Elephas maximus indicus: one gene and its partner. The protein of the gene in region 1 interacts with the protein of each later gene in a biochemical or structural test. Links are inferred from orthologs where the notes say so. Each region holds a gene or a part of one and is shown on either strand. Other genes may lie near its edges. The genes, in order: ITGB2 and ICAM1.

The links.
Region 2: the proteins of ITGB2 (region 1) and ICAM1 form a complex in vitro, tested with the Homo sapiens proteins (4 studies listed by BioGRID). The link is inferred for Elephas maximus indicus from reciprocal best matches to the Homo sapiens genes ITGB2 and ICAM1.

The regions. Positions count from the first base shown.
Region 1 is NC_064820.1:229,366,562-229,377,452, forward strand, and holds the start of ITGB2 (integrin beta-2), read right to left. Parts: upstream 4,610-10,891; 5' UTR 4,501-4,609; coding exon 4,492-4,500; intron 1-4,491.
Region 2 is NC_064821.1:28,382,456-28,393,809, forward strand, and holds the start of ICAM1 (intercellular adhesion molecule 1), read left to right. Parts: upstream 1-7,067; 5' UTR 7,068-7,126; coding exon 7,127-7,193; intron 7,194-8,537; exon of another isoform or gene 8,538-8,615; coding exon of another isoform or gene 8,616-8,655; intron 8,656-9,030; coding exon 9,031-9,300; intron 9,301-11,354. UniProt on the Homo sapiens protein: ICAM proteins are ligands for the leukocyte adhesion protein LFA-1 (integrin alpha-L/beta-2).

The DNA of each region.
Region 1 (10,891 bases):
TTCTCTTCTCCCAGCAGGAAGTGGAGGCCCAGGAGCACTGACTTAGAATCTACCCGCTATATGACCTTCCTGGCGTGGCAGTTACAAGCTATTGCCATTTTTTTAGGTCTGTGCACAATATTTTTAGAGCCATGTGCAAAAACTCATTCACTAAAATTAGTGGACTGCACACACATCACAAGACTGAAGATCCTCTCCTTACTGCTTGTGCATATGTATGTCACTCCCTATAAAAGGAGCAAATCTGCCCCGGTTCAGGGAGCTGGCAGCCTTAGGTCATGAGACCCTGCCTATCTCCCAGTTTCCAAACCGTGAATAAACCTTTCTGTTCTTCCAACCCTGTGTCTGGCTGACTTCTATTCACTAGTCTGCTTGACAAGAACCTATTAGTTGACAGCTTCAAGTTGGAGTTTAAATAACTGGCCAGCCCTCCTCTCCCACTTCACAGGTGGGGAGGCGGTGTCCTGGGGAGGCTGGCTTCCTGCTGGTCTATGCAAACCCAGAGGGTGCAGACAGGAAGTTGGCAGGGCAGTTCCTCTGCAGAGTTCCCTGCAACCACAGTGGGCCTCAGGTTTCCCTTTCCTTTCCCCCACAGCAGCTCTTTCCATGGCATGCGTGACGCCCCTACCTGGTACATGTCCTGCGTTACATGCTACATTTGCAGCATTTAATTTGGGAGAACTTAGGGCAGGGATTCCTGCCCCACATTTCAGAGGAGACACCAGAGCTCAGGGGAGAGGCATCAGGTTGCCCAGCTCAGCTATGCCCTCAGGAAATACCTGGCTCCATCTATGGCGATTCACTTGTGCTGGGCAAGGCCCTGGGTTGGCAGTGCATCTCTCCTGCCAGTGCTGGTCCCCAGGATTTGTTTTCAGGCTAGAAACAGCAGTGGCGCGTCCTGAGCTGCAGACTCCCCTCCCTCGCCCCTCACTGTGCTGCCCTGCTGGAGGCCACAGCCCTGAGGCCTGGCATCCCCAGGGGACTTCCGGAGGGGGTGGGCATCTGACCATGTCTGCTCAGAATGTGGTGCCAGCGGGGTCCTGTGTGGTGACCTTGGCTAAAGATCTCAGCCTCTCGTCCCAGAAACACAGCCAGGACCTCCAAACCGTGGTTGCAGGGAGTGAGGTTGTGGTGAGGGGCCCCTTTAAAAAATGAAGCCGTTAGGTCGCTTCTCTATAAAGCTGCTGGGGTGACTGAGCTGCCCAGAAGCTTCTGAGCAGTTTTTTCTCATTAAGGCCCCAGCGCACAGCCTCCTTGCACTTGGACAGACGCCAGGACACGATCCAGGAGGGACATACTGGTGACGCATCCCATCTCCATTTTTCCCACCCCCCATCACAAGGCCCCACATTTCTCTACCAGGTATTCCGGGGCCAGAGGACAGGGTGCACTGCGCTCGAGCGTCTCAGAGCGTGCAGGGAGCCTGGCTGGGGACAGTAGTGGTGGATCCACCCCCAGTCTGGGGAGGAGAAAGAGGAAGGGCAAGGAAAAGAGTTGGCACCAGGATATGGGTGGTGAGAGGGAACGTAGGTGTGTATGGGGGCTGCCCCCAAGAAATTAGTGTCCAGGTGGGGCCCCAGGGGTGTGTCTTCCACCCTACGCTCTACCTCCAGGAGCCTTGTGCCAGGAGGGAGGTCAGGTCCATTTCTGAGCACTTTGCCTGAAACCATTTGGACCAAAATCACAGACCCAACATCAGTTCCCCTAAAACTCAATTTTCCTTGAGTGTTTTTACTTGAATCATCAGGCCAGTGGTCCTAAACTCACCCAGAACATGCATGCATGCACATGCATACCCTATACCACTCACGGTCACTCACACACACCACACAGACCACATGTAAATATTTACCACACAGACTACACACACACGCACACCATACAGACCACACATATTCACCACACAGACTACACACACGCACACCATACAGACCACACACACACCACACAGATCACACATAAATATTTACCACACAGGCTACACACACACACACCATACAGACCACACACACTGCACAGACTACACACACACACCGCACAGACTACACACACACACCGCACAGACCACGCACACATATTCACCACACAGACTACACAGACCACACATACATTCACCACACAGACCACACACACACGCACACCATACAGACCACACACACACCACACAGATCACACATAAATATTTACCACACGGACTACACACACACACACACACACACCATACAGACCACACACACACCACACTGACTACGCACACACACCCCGCACAGACCACGCACATGTATTCGCCACACAGACTACACAGACTACACAGACCACGCACATATATTCACCACACAGACTACATACACACACACCACACAGACCGCACACACATTCACCACATAGGCTACACACACACGCATACGACACAGACCACGCACATATTCACCACACGGACTGCACATACAACACCACACAGACCATACACACATATTCATCACACATACCACACATACACACAACACCACACAGCCCATACATACATATTCACCACACATACTACACACACACTGCACAGACCACACACACATATTCACCACACAGACTACACACACACATAAACCATATACGTACATTTACCACGCATACCACACATACATACACCACCACACAGACCATACACACTGTTTACCACACATACTACTCACACACAACACCACACAGAACATACACACATATTTACCACATATACCACACAGACCACACACACATATCCACCACGCATACTACCCATGCATGCAACACCACACACATATTCAGCACACATGCCACACACAACACCACACCCCACTCACACACATGCGTACACAACACGTGTGCAAACACCACACACAGACCACACACACAACACTTATAGTCACACGCCACACCTGCATACAACATACACACATACAACATACGTAATCCACATATACCATACTACAAACACACCACTCACAATCACACACACACCACGCATATACAAAATTCAAACAGTACATACACACACACCCCACAGGCCACACACACACTTACACACCCATCCACCACACATACTACACACACACAGTACCACACACATAACGCGTGTACAAACACCACATAGAGACCACACACACAACCCTTACAGTCATACACCACACACACATACAACACACATACTCCACACATACCATACTGCAAACATACCACTCACAATCACACACACACCATTCAGGCCACACACACTTACACACACATATTCACCGTGCATACTACACACACACAACACCACATACCAGTCACACACATGCCATACATACAACACAGGTACGAACACCACACACAGACCACACAGGCATTATAGTCACACCACACACGCATACAGCACATACATTCCACACATACCATTCTACAAACATAGCATTCACATCCACACACAGACCACCATATACATCACAAACACACAACACACACACACACAGTTGACATACCACACATATACACCACACACACACACACACAAACACACACACGCACTGCAGCAGAAGTGGTCTCACTTTCGACAGCCATCTTCTCTGCCTGAGGAGAGACAAGCAGGCAGGCTGGAAACACAGGATGTAAACACTGCTGTTTCCTTCAGAAGAAAACTCAGGAAATGTGCCAGCCAAACGCACCCTGGGCACCTACCATGGGCATCTGCTTCACAGACTCCATGCCCTCCCTCCTATGTGCCAAGAGTCTTGCTTACAAAGACCCCCTTTCCCAGAGCTCCGGGAACAGCTGAAGGGTCCCAGGCATGCTGCCCACTGCCATCTTCAGATACCTATCTGTACTAGAGCTTGACGCAGAGCTTTGGTTTGGAAACGTAAGTCATCACAGCTAGCAGTGGTGGGCTGAGGAGAGTGGGGGGATCTGTGAGGCAGGAACAGAACAGTACAGCTGGAGACTCCAGGGACGACTCCTGCACAGCCCAGTGGAAGCCACACACACACCAGCCTGGGGGTCTTTCCTGCTCCCATGAGCCTCCTGGCTCTGCTGGGCCTTGAAGCCCCCACATCCCTACTCCCACACCCCCTTGGCAGCTCAGGAAGTGTCTGTGGTGTGTTGAAAGACCTTAGACCCAGGCACCAGAGCCTGTCTTCTGTCTGGGTTCTCCCCGCTGTGCTGGGCCCCAGTTCCTGCTCAGTAAACTGAGGTCCCCAGCACCCTGGGTAGCCCTGCCTGTGGGCTTAGCATTTCCTCTCTCTGGGTCTCAGCTCTCTTTTGGTAAGAGGGGCCAGAGTGGACAATCCCAAGATCCTCCCTGGCCAGTGATGTAGACTGAGGCCACCAGGGTCCACTCCAAGGCTGGGGTCACTTGGAACTACTTTCCTTGAGAAAGGCAGCAGCTGATTCCTCATGGAAACGCCGCAGGACTAAGTATTTCCCCTTAAAAAAAAAAACAACAACAAGCAAACACAGAAACAGAGGCACAGTCCATCCACTCACCCCACTCATGTCCTAGATCCCTGGCACTGCGTGTCCTGGCTTGGTTGGGGCAGGTTGAGCTGTGATCTTCTCAGGCTGGTCCACTGTCACATCGGGGAAAAGACACTGCCCCTGATGCTTCCTGTTCTAAGTCGGGTGCCACAGAGGAAGTTGAACTACATGTGGTTGATTGCACCACACATTGGTGATAATCTCCATCTCCTCTCTGCTCTGCACCTGCTCCCAATGGAGGGAAGTCAGAGGAGCAACCATGCAAGACAGAATGGGACCTGCAACTCATGTGTACCTGCATAACAAGAAGTAGGTAAGAATATGAAGTGAGGGGCAATTTTGGGGGACAGGAGTCTATGGCAGCAGCAGGAGCCCAACTACTAAGGGACCAGCCTACCATAGAGGAGGTGGTTCATGCTCTGCAGGGGATGGGGAACCACAGGGAGCCATATGCAGGGGAATGACCCCATTGGGTTCTCATTCAGGGACAGGGGATCTGGCCAACAGACTGAGCACATAGGCAGGAGGAGAGTGTTCAAAGAAAAGAACTGTCAATCCAGAATTTTACATACAGCAAAAATATTCCTTGCTAACAAAGAGGAAATAGACATTTTTGGATAAAGGAAAACTAAGAAAATTGGTGGCCACAGACATGCTCTAAAGGAAATGCTAGGCAGAAGGGAAATTATCCCAGAGGGAAACTTAGAAATGAAGGAAGGGCAACAGAAATGGTAAATATTTAGATAAATATATATAGACTATTTTTTTTTAAGTTCTTTAAAATACATTGAAATCAAAAATCATAACATTGGTGGTAGAACTTTCACTCTGTGTGGAGGTAAGATATATAACAACTACAGCATAAAGGGAGGACAGTAAAGGAATTTATGTAATTGTAAAGCTTCTCTGCAAGTAGTAAAATAGTAAATAAGTAGACAACGAAGTGTTAACTATGTATATTATAATCCCTAGAACAACCACTAAAAAAAAAAACTATTCAAAGAGATACAGTCAAAAAGCTAATTGATAAATTAAAATGTGATACAAAAAAAATGCAAGTAATCCAAAAGAAAGCAGGAGAGGGGGGAACAGAGGAATAAAAAACAGAGGGGAAAAACAGAAAACAAACAAAAAAATGAAATAATAGACCTAAATCCAAGCATTTCAGTAATTACATTAAGTGTAAATGGTCTAAACACACAAATTACAAGACAGATATTGCCAAGTGGATTTTTAAAAAAGGACCCAAACACTTTAAATGTGATAACATAGGCAGGTCAAGAATACAAGGATGGTAAAAAAAATATACTGTACAAACACTAACTCAAAGAAAATTAGAATGACTATATTAATATCGGAACCCTGGTGGCGCAGTTGTTAAGAGCTTGACTGCTAACCAAATGTCAGCAGTTTGAATCGACCAGCTGCTCCTTGAAAACCCTATGGGGCAGTTCTACTCTATCCTGTAGGGTCACTACGAGTCGAAGTCGACTTGACAGCAATGGGCTTTTTTTTTTTTTTTTTTTTAATTAATATCAGACTAAGCAGACTTCACAACAAGGAAAATTGCCAGGTATGATAAAACCAAAACCAAATCCATGACCATTGAGTTGATTCCCATTCATAGCAACCCTATAAAACAGAGTAGAACTGCTCCATAGGGTTTGTAAGGAGCAGCTGGTGGGTTCAAACCGACAACCTTTTTGTTAGCAGCCGTAGCTCTTAACCACCGTGCCACCAGGGCTCCACTACAAAATGATAAGAGAGTTAACTCAGTAAGAAGGTATAACAATCCTAAATTTGCATACATCTAAACACAGAGTTTCAAAATACATGAAGACAAAGCTGAAAGATCTAAAAGAAGAAATAGGCAAGCCCACAGATATGGCTGGAGTAATCAATAAAAAAAGAAAAAAAAGCAGAAAATCAGCAAAGCGTATAGCAGACCTAAGCAACAGCATCAAACAATAAGACCTAAAAAAAAAAAAAAAAAATTATGGAACACTCCACCCAGCAACAGCAGCAGAATATACACTATTTTTAAATGCACAGGACACATTCCCCAAGATAGACAGTATCTTGGGTGTTATGGATTGAATCATGTCACAAAAAAAGATATGTTCAAGTCTTATCCTCTATACTTGTGAAACAGGGTCTTTACAGATACAATCAGTTAAGATTAGATTGCACTGGAGTAGGGTGAGCCCTAGTTGATATTATTGGTGTCCTTATAAGAGGAAGAGAAGAGACACAGACAGAGACACACAGAGGAAAGATGAGCATATGAAGATGGAGGCAGAGATAGGAATGATGAATCTACAAGCTAAGGATTGCCAGGAACCACCAGAAGCTGGAAGAGGCAAGGAAAGATTCTTCCCTAGAGCCTTCAGAGGAAATATGGCCCTGCAGACATCTTGATTTTGAACTTCTAGATTCTTGAACTGAGAGACAATAAATCTCTGTTGTTAAAGTTACCCACTTTGTGATACTTTGGTATGGCAGGCCTAGAAAACTAGTACACTGGATCATAAAATAAACCTTAACAAGTTTAAAAGAATGTGAATCATACAAAAATATGTTCTCTGTTCATAATTGAGTTAAACCAGAAAGATATTGGTGACATCTCTAACTAAAGAACACATTTCTAGTGGAAGCCTCAAGTGAAAATAGAAAATACTTTGAACAAAATGAAAATACAGCATATTAAATTTAGTGGAATGAAGCCAAAGCAGTGCCTAGAGGGAAATTTATAGTATTAAATTCATATATTAGAAAGACAACCATATGAATGAATCTGTAATGCATCCTGCTAAGTGAAAGAAGCTGTGAGGGAATACAGAGTCCAGCAAAACACAGAGAGAGGCTTCACAGACATGGGGGTTACATCAAACTACAACGAGAAGCGTGAGGTGTTGTTTAATGGGCACAGTGCTTCTGTTTGGGGTGATGCAAAAGTTTTGAAAATATTAGTGATAATTACACAACATGGTAAATGTACTTAATGCCACTGAATCATACACTTAAAAATGATTAAAATGGTAAATTTTGTTATGCATATTCTTAGTCATCTAGTGGTGCCATAACAGAAATACTGCAAGTGGATGGCTTTATCAAAGAGAAATTTATTTTCTTATAGTCTAGTAGGTTACAAGTTCAAATTCAGGGCGTTGGCTCTAGGAGAAGGCTTTCTTTCTGTCATCTCTGGAAGAAGGTCTTTGTCCTCAACCTTCGCATGGTTGAGGAGCTTCTCAGGCGCAGAGACCCCAGGCGCAAAGGACTCGCTGTGTTCCTGGTGCTGCTTTCTTGGTGGTGTGAGGTCCCCAACTCTCTGCTTGCTTCCCTTTCCTTTTATCTCTTGAGAGATAAAAGGTGTTGCAGGCTACACCCCAGGGAAAATTATTTTACATTGGATCAGGAATGTGGCCTGAACAAGGGTGTTACATCCCACCCTAAACCTCTTTAACCACAAACAGAGATTATGATTTATAATACATAGGAAAATCACAAAATGGAGGACAACCACACATGGCCTAACCAAGTTGACACATATTTTTGAGGGGACACAATTCAATCCATGACATATATTTTATACATTAAAAACAAAAACAAAAAGCAAAACTACGAGTTACCATTTTCCAACTATCATATGTGGAGGGCAATTGGTTTCATGACTGTCAGTGTCTAGCAGGTTGTTGTACTATGGGAGCTGGCATGTTGCTGTGATGCTGGAAGCTATGCCACTGGTATTTCAAATACCAGCATGGTCACCTATGGTGGATAGGTTTCAGCAGAGCTTCCAGACCAAGGCAGACTAAGAAGAAAGGCCTGGCAATCTACACTCAAAAATTAGCCAATGCTAATAAAAATATATATATATTTTTTTAATGTTATGGATCACAATGGAATATTGTCTGACTTGCTTGCTTTGGACATGTCATCAGGAGGATCAATTGCTACAGGAGGATATCACGTTTGTTGAAGCATAGGGCCAGCAAGGGTGAGGGAGCCCCTCGGTAAGACGGATTGGCACGAGAGCAGCAACGATGGACTTGAACATGCCAGTGATTGTGAGAATGATGCAGGACCAGGAAATGTTTTTGTTCTGTTGTACATAAGGTCATCATGAGTCTGAGCTGACAGCAGCTATCAATCTATTCTCAGCCGACCCATTTCCTGCTATCTACCATGAGGAGAAATTAAGTGTTTGTGGATCTTTATTGTGGCATCCTTTGTCTAAATAGTCATTTAAAAGCTCATGTAAAATATATGTCTATCAACAGGCAGATGGCTAAATAAACCATGGTGCCATTCTATGGAACACTATTGAGTAGATGGAAAAAAATGGGGACAGGTGTTTGAGCCGGCAGCAGTCCTTAAAGATGCTGTTAAGCAAAACAAAGTCAGCTGCAGAGCAATAAACACAAGACGGTACCATTCATACTGTGAAAAGGTTAAGCACGCATTATAGTGGTTATGTTTCTCAAAATGGATAGAGAGATGTCTGAGAAGATACAGACACATGACAATATGGGTCACTGCTCCAGAGCAGACTGAGAGTTGCTCGCGGGTGAGAAGGGTGGTTAAGAGACCTTGCTCTATGCACATCTGAATCTTTTGGAAAGAGGATGTACTTATGCGTTTCTTTCACCGTGTCAAGAAAAAGATCATTCTGGCAGATACAGATGGGGGCATCATTATGGATTGAATTGTGTCCCCAAAAAGATGTGTGGAAGTTCTAATCCTCTGTGAACGTGACCTTGTTTGGAAATAGGGTCTTTGAAGATGTCACCATTTAACAAGCAGTCATATTGAAGAAGAATGGGCCCTAATCCTATATGACTTTTATCCTTATAAAATTGGAGAAAATACAGAGAGACAAGGAGACAGAGGAAGGGTGCCACGTAACGCTGCAGCTGCAAGTCAAGAACACCTAGGATTACAGTAACCCGACCCTACAAATGCAAAGGATGCAGCAACAGGTGGACCGAATCAGAAGGAAAATCATCACCCAGACCCTATTTCGAAGGAGAGGTCTGACAAGAAGCATGTCACCTCCTGTTTCCTAGATGCCTTCTAGAGTTTCCCCTCCCCAGAACACCTGCGTGGCCACCATCTTGCTGCCAAAATCATATGTAAGCCCTGCCTACCCATAGCTCGGGGAGCCAGATCTGAGGAACCTCCTCCTGGCTCCTTGCTCTGGGCATTGCAATAGTTACTTTCTCTTTCTCAAAGATCGGTGTCCAGATAATTGGCAAGTCTGAGTGCCCTGGACAAGGACCCACCTTCCCGGGTTCAGTAACAATTTTGGTGCCCAACGTGGGGCCAGAGGGTCACACAGACCCTTTGTCCGGAGCCCGGCACTCCCTCAACTGTAAACGGAACCTCCACTGACCCTTGGTGTACACCGAACCTCTTGTTCAGGAGGATCAGGTAGGTCTCCTCACCAGGACTGAGGTGGTGACCAGCCTAAGGTGATTTTACTTTGAGAATTAGACACTAACTCACGTATAGACGTCCACTAGGTAAGAGCCCCAGGAATTTCTCTTGTTAAGTGTAAGTGCTTGGAATTGGAGTTGCGGAGGCACGTGGAGGATTGAAATAGGCCTAAGATATCCCCGTTAGGGGACAAAGAGACTCTGCTAAGATCATCCTTGTTACTTCGCCACTCCTCCAGACGGCAGCAGAGAATGGGCACCCTAATTTCTGGTTGACTGCAGTCCTGGTTCTGGTTCTGAGGTAGGGAGGTATCTGGAGGATTGAAGTAGGACTAAGATGTCCTGATTAGGGGGGACTGAAGCCCTACTAAGATCATCCTTATTATCTTGCCCCACCACTCCCCCTAGCCAATCGCAGAGAATGGGCAGCCTAGTTTATGGTTGCTGACTTTGGTTAAGTTCAGGTTCTGGTTCTGTTTCTGAGAAAGAGTATTGTGTGTGTGTGTGTGTGTGTGTGTGTGTGTGAAATATGGGAAACAAACCTAGGGTCCCTGAATGTTCCCCCTTAGGTTGCATACTTAAAAATTGGTCCTTCTTTAGTTATGAACTTATGGAGAAGGGGAACCTTGTTTTCCTTTGTAACACTGCCTGGCCCCAGTACCAGTTGGAGTCAGGCGAAAAGTGGCTTCAGTATGGGTCACTTAGCTATTTAGCCATTTTACAGTTAGGTCTGTTTTGCAAAAGAGGGAGAAAATGGGATGAAATTCCCTACATGCAAACCTTTAAGCCTCTCTGACAGAATAAGAACCTACAAAAACAGTGCAAACTAATGATGCAGGCAGCTGGGAGAAAGGGAATGGGAGATAGGATGTCCCCAGTCCTTCCAGACTCAGACAGTAATCTGCACCCCTTCAGTCTCTTATCTCTACCTGTGCCCCCTCCTCCTCATCCACCTGGAGGTGCAGGCCTGGTTC
Region 2 (11,354 bases), on another chromosome or scaffold:
ACACCCAAGAAAGAGCTTCATGTAGCCCCCAGATACACCTGGGGCACCCAGAGTGTGAAGCCACCAGCAAGGAGGAGCTGCACTGTCCCCTTTCCCCTTCTCCCTGTACCTGCCAGCCCCAGCAGAAGGTTCCAGATGTTGGTCGGGGGGCAGGAAGAGAGGGCACAGCAGAGGAGCCGACTGGCTTCCCCACCCAGGCCTCCAACCTGGAGAGGCCTGGGGTGGGGCTGGGGAATCCACCACAAAGTCCAGTTCAAAGGTTTGAAGGTGATGCTGACCTGCCTCCTGGGTCTGTCAGCATTCTCAGTCGGCGGCGGGGCAAGGTTTCTACCACAGAATAGCTTTCAAGGGGCAGAGGGAGGAGCAAGGTTTTGTTTGATAAAAAATCCACACGTCATGAATGTTTACTTTACACCCTAGGCCTATTAGGAGGAATTATGATCCTCGTGTGAACAAGGGCTGTGGGAAGTGCATATTTCTGCCTAGAGAGTTTGGGGTGAGACTCTCAAGCTGAACCCCAAGGGAAATAGGCTAACAGTAACCACTAGGATGGCTCTCCCTCTGCTGAGCTGCACAGAGCTTTGTGTAAGAACCATCTGAGTGAAATTTCATAAGTATAACCATCCTGGTTTTTTTTTTTAATTGTGGTAAATATGTATATAACAACAAAACAAAAAAAAACCCCATTGCTGTCGAGTAGATTCCAACTCATAGTGACCCTATAGAACAGAGTAGAAGTACCCCACAGAGTTTCCAAGGAGCACCTGGTGGGTTAGAACCATCGACCTTTTGGTTACCAGTGGTAGCGCTTCACCACTATGCCCCCAGGGTTTCCGTAGAGAACAAAGCATTTGCCAATTCAACAATTTTTACATGTACAATTCAGTGACACTGTTTACGTTCATCAACTTGTGCAACCTTGGCTACTACCCTTTTCCCAATGATTCCATCACCATTAACAGAAACTCAATGTCCCCTAAGCAATGACAACCCCTCCCATCCACCCCCGGTAACTACTAATAAGCTTTGGTCTCTTTGCATTTGCCTTTTTCATGTATATGGAATCATATGGTATTTGTCCTTTCGTGGCTGGCTTATTTTACACAGCATAACCCCTGTTCTTCCTGGGATCACCTCCCAGATAAACAATCTGCAGTCTCAGCCTTGTCTCAGGGTCTGCTTTGGGGGGGAAACGTAAGCTAAAACACAGCCGGTAAGTAAAAAAGCCTAGATTCAAACCCCAACCTGATCAAATCTCGTGTGCCAAACCCCGTTTCATTCCAACCCTGCCTCCCAACCCATCCTTTGGGTGCCTGTTACAGATCGAATTGTGTCCCCCAAAAATGTGCGTCAACTTGGCTAGGCCATGATTCCTAGTATTGTATGGTTGTCCTCCATTTTATGATCTGATGTAATCTTCCTATGTGTTGTAAATCCTTATCTCTGCCTGTGCTTAATGAGGCAACATTAAGTTATGTTAAAGAGGATTAGGGCAGGATGCAACACCCTTACGCAGGTCACAGCCCTGATCCAAAGTAAGGGGAGTTTCCCAGGGGTGTGGCCTGCATCACCTTTTATTTATGAGAGATAAAAGGAGACAGAAGCCAGCAGAGAAAGAGGGACCTCCTACCAGCAAGAAAGAAAAGCGGGGAGTGGAGCGTGTTTTTGAATTCAGGGTCCCTGCGCTGAGAAACCCCTAGACCCAGGGGAAGGTTTGATGACAACTTTCCCACAGAGCCAACAGAGAGAGAAAGTCTTCCCCTGGAGTTGGCACCCTGAATTTGGACTTCTAGCCTCCTAAACTGCAAGAGAATAAATTTCTGTTTTTTTAAAAAGCCATCCACTTGCGGTATTTCTGTTATAGCAGCACTAAAAAAAAAAAAAAAAAGATAACTAAAACAGGGCCTTTGGTAAAAGCAGTGGGAAGGGAATTCCAGGCTGGAGGAACAGCATGTACAGAATGCTCAGAAGCAAGAGAAGTTAATTCATTCAACAAATATGTATCGATCCCGTCTGCAGAGGCCAGCCACTGAGCCGGTGCTGGGGCTGACAGGCTCCCTCCCCTCCTGAGGATCACAGAAATGGAGGCAATAGACAATCAGGTAAATCTAAGGGACTTCAGCAAGTAATGAGTTCATAATGAAAACAAATTAAAAAAAAGTGAAAAGGAATGACCAGGGTACGGCCGAGGATGGGGGAGAATCCAGGAAGGTTCGAGCCACGGAAGGGAGGGGCTGGCCACGTCACAGATGAGAGGAAGATCATTCAAGGCTGAGGGAATTCCAAGGCCATCACACCAGAGTTCAGTGTGGGGAGGACAGGCGTAAGGCCTTAGAGGGCTTCAGATGCTTCTGCTCAGTGTTTTTAGCCTCTGTTCTGCCGTGGGTCATTTTCTTGCCCTGCCCAAGACTGTCTGACACCCTCTAGGAAGCCCAACCCTTCCTGACAGCAGCAGAGTGCTGAGGAAATCAGCTTCCCTCTTCCTCAGGGAAATGTAAATGGGGGTGCACGCTCCCCTTGCCAGCCTGCCCCCCAAGACTACCTCATCCCCATGTCAGGAAATGGCCCTCCCTCCTCCCAGGAGCTCAGACCCGGACCAAGGAGCTGACCTTGAGTCTGCCCCACCCGCCATGTCCCAGCACGTCCAGTTGCCCGTCTCCAAAATGGATGCAGAATCAGACCACTTCTCCACCACCACGGCCCAGTTCAGGCCCCCATCAACACTTGCCTGGACTAGAGCTGTCGCCTCCTCTCTGGTCTCCCCTGGTTTCCTCCCTGTCCCTCCCACCCCCTGATGGTAACTTTTAAAATGGCCAGAGGGTACTTGTGAACACTTGAGCCAGGGCATGTCCCTCGTCTGCTCAGAACCCTCCATGGCACCCACCTTATTCAGAGTAAAAGCCAAAGTCCTCCAGGCCGCACACAATCCACGCCCCTCCCCGCCCCCCCCCCCGCCCCATCACCTCCCAGCTCTTGCCTCCTCCCCTGGCTCTCGCCTCCTCCCCTAGTCCCCATCCTTCACTGCTGTAGCATCACCGGCCTCCTCACTGTCCTTGGCTCCAGCTCACTCTAGGGCCTTGTTCCCGCTGCCTAGTGCATTCTTCCCCCAGAGGATGGCATGGCTCCCTCCTCACCTTTGCTCAAAGGTCACCTTCTCAGTGATTCTTTCCCAGATTACTCTATTTAAAATTTCTTTAAACCTCACATTTCCAATCCCCTCCCCCATCTTATGGAGCCCTGGTGGCCTAGTGGTTAAGAGCTCGGCTGCTAACCAAAAGATCCACGAACTTTATGTTTCTCCTTAGCACCAATCACCAACTAACACTCTCTGTATTTTATTTTTGTTTCTTGTCTATCATCTCCACTTGGATGATCCCTGCATGATGGCAGGGGTTTTCGTCCATTTCATCTACTGCTCTGTCCTCAGCACCTGGAACCACGCCTAGTACACAGTACCTACAAGCAACCCCATTGCCATCTAATTGATTCTGACTCATAGTGACTCGACAGGACAGAACAGAACTGCCCCATAGAGTTTCCAAGGCTGTAATCTTTACGGGTGAACTTCAACCAAGTCTTTTTGGTACAGTAACTCTGTGTATTCCTTCCATCTTCTTTTGATGCTCCCTGCCTTGTTCAGTATTTTGCCCATAGAATCCTTCACTATCGCAACTTGAGGCTTGAATTTTTTCTTCAGTTCTTTCAGCTTGAGAAATGCTGAGCATGTTCTCTCCTTTTGGTTTGCTAACTCCGGATCTTTGCACATGTCATTATAATACTTTACTTTGTCTTCTCGAGCCGCCCTTTGAAATCTTCAGTTCTTTTACTTCATCATTTCTTCCATTCACTTTACAGTTCAAGAGTAACTTTCAGATGCTCTTCCGACACCCGTTTTTGTCTTTTCTTTCTTTCCTGTCTTTCAGGAAGTAGGATATGATCAAGAACTGATGGTACTGAAGGAAGAAGTCCAAGCCGCAGGGAAGGCATTAGGAAAAAACAAGTTTCCAGGAATTAATGAAATACAAGTTCAGATGTTTCAACAAATGGATGCAATACTGGAAGTGCTCACTCATCCATGCCAAGAAATTTGGCCAACCAACTGGAAGAGATTCATGTTTGTGCCCATTCGAAAGAAAGATGATCCAACAGAATGAGGAAATTATCGAACAATTTCAGTAATATCACATGCAAATAAAATTTCACTGAAGATAATTCAAAAACAGTTGCAGCAGTACATTGACAGGGAACTGCCAGAAATTCAAGCCAGATTCAGAAGAGGGCATGGAATGAGGGATATCGTTGCTGATGTCCGATGGATCTTAGCTGAAAGCAAAGAACACCAGAAAGATGTTTACTTGTGTTTTATTGACTATGCAAAGACATTTGACTGTGTGGATCATAAATTATGGATAACATTGTGAGTATTGGGAATTGCAGAACACTTAATTGTGCTCATGAGGAACCTGTACTTAGACCAAGAGGCAGTTGTTTGAACAGAAAAGGGGATACCGTGTGGTTTAAATTTAAGAAAGGTGTGCATCAGGGTTGTACCCTTTCACCATACTTATTCAGTCTGTATGCTGGGCAAATAAACTGAGAAGCTGGGCTATACCAAGAAGAACGAGGCATCAGGATTGGAGGAAGACTTCTTAACAGCCCATGATATGGAGGTAACACAACCTTGCTTACTAAAAGCTAAGAGGACTTGAAATACTGATAAAGATCAAAGACTACAGCCTTCAGTACCGATTACACCTCAATATAAAGAAAATAAAAATCCTCACAACTGGACCAATAAGCAACATCATGATAAAAGGAGAAATTATGGAAGTTCTCAAGGATTTCATTTTACTTGGATCCACAATCAACGGCCATGGAAGCAGCAGTCAAGAAACAGCGTATTGCATTGGGCAAATCTGCTGCACAAGACTTCTTTAAAGTCTTCAAAAGCAAAGATGTCACTTTGAAGGCTAAGCCAGACAATGAAAACGGAAGACTGAAGAAAAATTGATGCGTTTGAATTATGCTGTTGGTAAAGAACATTGACTATACAGCTAGAACAACAAACAAATCTGTCTTGGAACAAGTACAGCCAGAATGCTCCTTAGAAGCCAGGTGTGGTGAGACTTGTTTTTGGACATGTTATCAGGAGGGACCAGGCCCTGAAGAAGAACATCAAGCTTGGTGAAGTAGAAGGTCAGTGAAAGAGAGAAAGACCCTCAATGAGATGGACTGACACAGTGGCTGCAACAGTGGGCTCAAACATAGCAACACTGTGAGGATGGGGCAGTGTTTCTGTTGTCCATAGGATCGCTGAGTCCGGAGGACTCCACGGCACCCAACAACGACTGCCACATCTTTCTCCCGCCGAGCGGCTAGTGAGTTTGATCCGGCGACCATTCGGCTAGCAGCCCAGCGCTTAACCACTGCGCCACCAGGGCTCCTTTAGTACGCGGTAGGCGCTCAATAGACACTGTTGGGAAAGAAAAGGACATTTTTGTGGCTGCAAGTGGGACTTGAGCCTCGAGGGGGCGCTCGCCGCCCGCGCGCTTCGGGCCAGGACGAGCCCCTGGAGAGGAGAGAGGAAAGTCCGCCAAAAAATAACCCCGCGGCGCAGGATTTTCCCAGACCTTCGAAGGCGCGGGGACATCCCAGGTACCCCCTTCCCCTTTGCCCAGGCCGTTACAGGGCGGGGATTCAGCACTCCCAAACCCTCAACCAGAAAGATCCCAGTGGAAATTCCTTAGGAACAACTGGTGCGAAGGAGGGGCGCATTTCTAGACGGCGAATGAGTCTCAGCCCCCTCCCTTCCCCTTCTGCTGCGCGACCTCCCTGGCCTCTCCGATGTCTCCATGGCGACGCCGCGCTTGCCCCACAACAGGAAACCTCAGGCGGCGCTGCTCAGCGCTGGGAGCCTCCCCCCTCCCCAGCCTGGACGCGGTAGACGCCAGGCACTGGGGTCACACGGGCAGGCGTGGCCGAAGGGGTGACTCCCCGCTTCCGAGACTAGGTCCCCGACCCCTATAGACATCACCTCCTTTCCAAAACGTCCTACTGGCGCCAGCCCAGGCAAACACTGGAACATATTTAGTGCAGACGTCGGTGTTTAGCCGTGCGCAGGGGGCGGGGTTTGAGCGCTCCTTACTCCGGACCCACGTGGGGCTAGGGGGCTGCCTCAGATTCCCTGCCTAAGGCAAGGGCTCGAGCGCCCCCTCTCTCCTCCTCTGTGGAGGCCTGAGCTGCTGCCTGAGTTTCCCTGCGGAGCCTGGGGCGGGGATGGAGGGCTCAGTGCGTAAAGCCCACGCGGCTTCCTTCCTTCTTCTGGGAACTGTAAAGATGCCGCCGCGAACGAGCCGAAAGGGGAAGCGAGGCCGTTGGTGTGGGAGTACCAATGGGGGAACGCCGACCCCCCCCTCCGGGCGCGATGGCTTCACGAACCCACCACCCCTGGGATTCTCAGAGCCTCGAGGTGCCTGGGCCTGCTGCGGCCACTTGTCGCGAAATCTCGGTGTCAGCTGGGACGGGAGGCCCAGACATGCCCTTGGGAGGGGCACCCTTGAATGGACAGCGCCTAAGGAAGATTCCTGGACACCTATCCACGTCCCTTCCTGTGCTCATCCGCTCGGTTAAAGCGCGAGCTGGCGAGTTAGACCTGGTTCGAATCCCTTCTAAGCTCAGCGCCTCAGTTTACCCATTTGTAAGACGGAGACAGTAACAGTCCCTACATTCCAGCATGGTTGGAAGTATTTGATAAAGAGCTTAGCGCGGTGTAAACGCCGCATTCAGGTTAGCCCGACTGGGGGAACAGGACCCCTGGAGGCCGGGGCAGCTCCCAGTCCACCATCCCGCCATCCCTCCGCCGCCGCCCTAATCTCTTTAGCTTGGAAGTTCGGGCGCTTGATGGCCAGCAGGGAGGACGACCCAGCTCGGGCTGGGTACCCTCTCAATCCGGAAATTCCTGAGCCCTAGGTCGGGAGGAGAAAGCGCGAGGTTTCCGGGAAGGCAGCACCGCCCCCTGAGCCCCAGCAGCCGGGCACTATAAAGGGCCGGGCGCGCTGCCTCGCTCCTCAGTCCGCGCAGCGCACCCAGCGCCTAGGTGTTGTCCTCTCTGCCTCTCTCGCCCGCTATGGCTCCCTGTGGCGCCTGGCCCTCGCTGGCGGTGCTCCTGTCCCTGTTTGCGGCTCTGCTCCCAGGTGAGTCGGGGTATAGAGTAACCGTCGGACCAGCTCCGGGGATCTGGGCTGCGCCCTGGGCGCGGTGGGAGGACCGGCTCCCGGCCGTTCCTACTCAGATAGCGGGTTTATAGAAGGATGGGGTGCCTGAAAACCATTTCTGGAGGGCTAGAGTCACCGAGAGAAAGTCAACAGTGAGTTCAAATGCGGACCTCCTTCACCTCCGTGTGTGTGACCTTAGGCTGTAGCTGCGCCTCTCTGAAGGCTCAGTTTTCTCACCATCAAATGGGGAAGATTCTAGCGGCCACGTCGCAGGCTTTGTGCCTGACCGAGCAGAGCGCCTGGGTCCAGGAGGCCACCAGATCGAAATGGGGACGTGGCCAGACCCAAGCTGAGTAGGGTCGGGGACCCCCCCTTATCCCCCACACACATTCTGTTCCTCATCCCCTGCCCCGGGGAAGTCCAGGGTTGTTTCTGCACAGGGGAATTCCAGGGCTGACTTGCCCAGGGGCCAGAGCTGAGACACCAAGGAGCTCCTGCGGCCCGTCCCCGCCCCCCCCCATTTCAGCCCCATAGGGAGGGTGGGCGGAAATGCAGTCAGAGGGCCTCAAATGGTGATGGTGCTGGGCAGCAGGAGAGTGGCAGGTTGACGCCTTGGTTACCAGCTTGATTCTGGAGCCTGTCAGGTAAAGGGTTGAATCGGGACTCTAAGGCTTTCTAGCTGAGTAACTTCCTCTCTCTAAGCCTCACTGGTTCTCTCCCTGAAATGGGAATGAACTCAGAATCTCCCTCGGAGGATTTCTGGAGCCACTGCTCTCACAGGCCTCCAGCCCTGATAAGACAGGCCCAAGGCTTTGAGGGAACCACTGGAGCAAGGGCAGGGATGTGGGGGTAGCCTCAGATATTTTTTCAGATATGAAGTGGACAGGGTCTGTGGACAACACCCCTCCTTCTTACCCACAGCCCCTTGCTTCCTGCCCTGTGTAGGAGTTACTTGCATTAGCATGGGGTGGGGTGACAATACTCACCTATCTTACAGATAGGGAAATTGAGGCCCAGAGAGGGGAGATCACTGGCCAAAGGAGTGAGGAGCCAGCCCAATTTGAACTGCCCTTTGTTGGACTTTGTTTCTGTTGTTTACCTCATTCCATCTTGGCCTAGCCCATCTCTTTCCTGGAGGGATGGCCCCTTCCTCCTGACCTCTTGAGAGGGAGGAGGGCACTGACTGCTTGTCCCTTCTCTGCTAAAATTCTCACAAAATCTCCCTCAGAATAAAGAATACATCCTGAGGGCAGCCTGCACTGCCCACGTGATCTTCCGGACCTCATTTCTGCTCAGTCTTCCCCTTTGCTTGCTATGGTGCAGCCACCCTGCCTCAGGGCCTTTGCACTTGAAGTTGCCTTTGCCTGGAATTCACACCGCTTTTCCTTGGATGGAGCCCTGATGGGTCAGTGGTTAAGAGCTACAGCTGCTAACCATAAAGGTGGGTGGTTCGAATCTACCAGGAGCCCCTTGGAAACCCTATGGGGCAGTTCTACTCTGTCCTGTATAGTCGCTATGACTCAGCGGCAGTGGATTTTTTTTTTTCCCTTGGATGGTCAGCTCCTTATTATGCAGATCTCTGCTCACTATGTCACAAAGGCACTGTCTGTTCTATTGCCCTGTTGTGTTTGTATCAAAGCTCTTATAACATCAGAAATTAGCTTGTTTGCTCACAGATTTTTCTCTCTCACACTGAAGGCAAGGAGTTTTGTTCATGGCTGTGTCCCCAGCACCCAGCACATGGTGGGCACACAGTAGGCCCCTTCATGCCTAATGCCAGCCCCCTCCTCAGAGTCAAGCAACCCTTTCGTTCCAGGGTCTGGAGGTGCCCAAGTATCAGTGCATCCCCTAGAAGCCATCGTGCACCAAGGAGGCTCCGTGGTAGTGAATTGCAGTGCCACCTGTAACCAATCCAACTTAGAAGTGGGCCTGGAGACAGTGTTCAACAAGAAGCTAGTTTCTGAGGGGGCCAGCTGGAAGGTCTTTGAACTGAGTGATGTGCAAGAAGACAGTAGCGGGCTATGCTATGCAACCTGTGGCGATACACCTGAGCAGGAAACAGCTACAATTTCCATCACCATGTATGGTAAGTGGCTGGCCCCAGGGGCTGGACTGGGCAGACTGGGGAGGGGGTGGACAAAGGCTGCTTGGTTGCTTGGTGGTGGTGCTGGGGAGGGTATCACTGAAGAGTGAATGCAGAAATCCTTGGAAAGTCCCAGTGTCATTCAGAAGCCCCTCTGAACCTCGAGTGTACGTAGGACATCAGGGATTCGGCACACTTAAGAGAACTGGCTCTCAGTGGCTCACTCTTGAAGCACATACATGGCAAGGCCCTGGGTCTGCTTCTTAAAAAGAAGATGCAAATGAAAACTCCCCCTCAGATGGCATTTTTCACATATTGGGAAACATTGGAAGAGGTGATCGCAGCTGTGCTGGCCAGGCTGTGGGAGAGCAGGCACCCCTGGGACATTGCTAGTGGGAGTAGGAAGAAGCACATCTCCGTGAAGGGAGATTTGGTGTCAGTTCTCAAAATAACACACGCACGTGCCCTTCGACTCAGAAACCCCGCCCTTGAGAATTTGTCCTACAGGTGTCCTAGCCCTCGAGGGGGCTGGTGGGAGGAAGAGATTGTCCACTGCCGCTTTGTTTGGAAGGGGAACAGTTTGCAAACCATGCACATCTAGGGGCCGTGGAAATCATCTGTGGTTTGGCCATGCCGTGGAATAGTATGCAGCCGTATAAAAGAACGGTCGTCATGAGTCGGAATTGACTTGACGGCAATGGGTTTGGTTTTTGGTTGAAGGTATGCCCAGTGTGAGTGGAATGCTGCCCTCTGTTAAGGAGCGAGGGGGTAGGCTGTGTTCATCCATGAAAGAGTCCTGAACAGAAATGTAAGAAATGGAACAATATTAGTTGGCTGTGAGAAAAGAAGACAGGGGGCTGGGAAGAGGGGAGGGGGCGCCCTTTTCTACATTGGGGATTTTGAACTGTGAGAATGAGTTACCAAAGGCAAAATAAATAGATATTATTCAAATTTAAAAAAATAAAAAAGAAGAGAAAGGGAGGGAGGGAACAGACCTTGAAATTAGACAGCCTTGGGTTGTCACTAGCTGGGTGACGATGGGCAAACGGTTTCTCGGTTTCCTTCTCCGCCACATGAGACCTCTTCGAAGGGGTATAACAATGTAGTGAGGCGCAAAGGTGCTCCACAGTCCTGGCGTCTGGGCAGAGGAAGCCTTTAGGCCAATATTGGATTTGCTTCTGACTCAGGGGTGTTTGAGCAGATGCTGGTCACCCTCCCAGCAAGGGAAGTCCCCAGACATTCCTGGTGGCCTCTGAAAACCCTCTTGGTGAGCTAGGAAACCTTCTAGAAGGCCTCAAACAAAGAGTGTGGTGATTGAGATCCCACACTCTGGGTTTGAGTCCTGGCTGTCCCACCTTTCTTCCTCAGTGACTGTGTTCATGACCTTGCCTTAGTTTCCTCCTCTGTGAAGTGGAGCAGATGGCTGGCATGCAGTAGCAAGGGAGTCAAAGGTGAATGGGGCCACCTGGGTGTAAAGATGAGGGCACAACGGTTAAGCACTTGGCTGGCTAACCAAAAAGTTTGCAGTTCTGACCCACCCAGCGGCTCTCCGGGAGAAAGACCTGGTGATAGGCTCGCATAAAGATTCCAGTCGAGGAAACCCTGTGGGGCAGCTCTAGTCTGTCACATGGGGTCCTGCACCTAATAACAACAACAACAAGGCTGTTTAAGGTCAACCTACTTATAACAATAATTAGAAATGATTTAAAAAATCAACAACTAACCATGAGGGAACATTCCTGGAGGGCTGAGGCATCGCCCTAAATGTTAGAGGTGTCATTCCTGGAGGAGGCGACCCCTATCTGAGCCCTTGAAGGATGTGTACGAGTTGGTAAAGACAGGCATTCTGGATAGAGGGAATGGGCTAGCGTGAGGGGGAAAAAAAAGATCTAGAGTAAGGAAACATCCTCATTGGTGGGGAGGGAGAGAATCTGTTGAACCTAAGCAGGGTGGCTGGAGGTTGGCAGGGCCTTGAATGCCAGGGCAAGGAGCTGGGACCTTCTCCTTCCCTGGGCACTGGAGAGCCATGGAGAGTGTGTGAACAGGCCAAGGATATA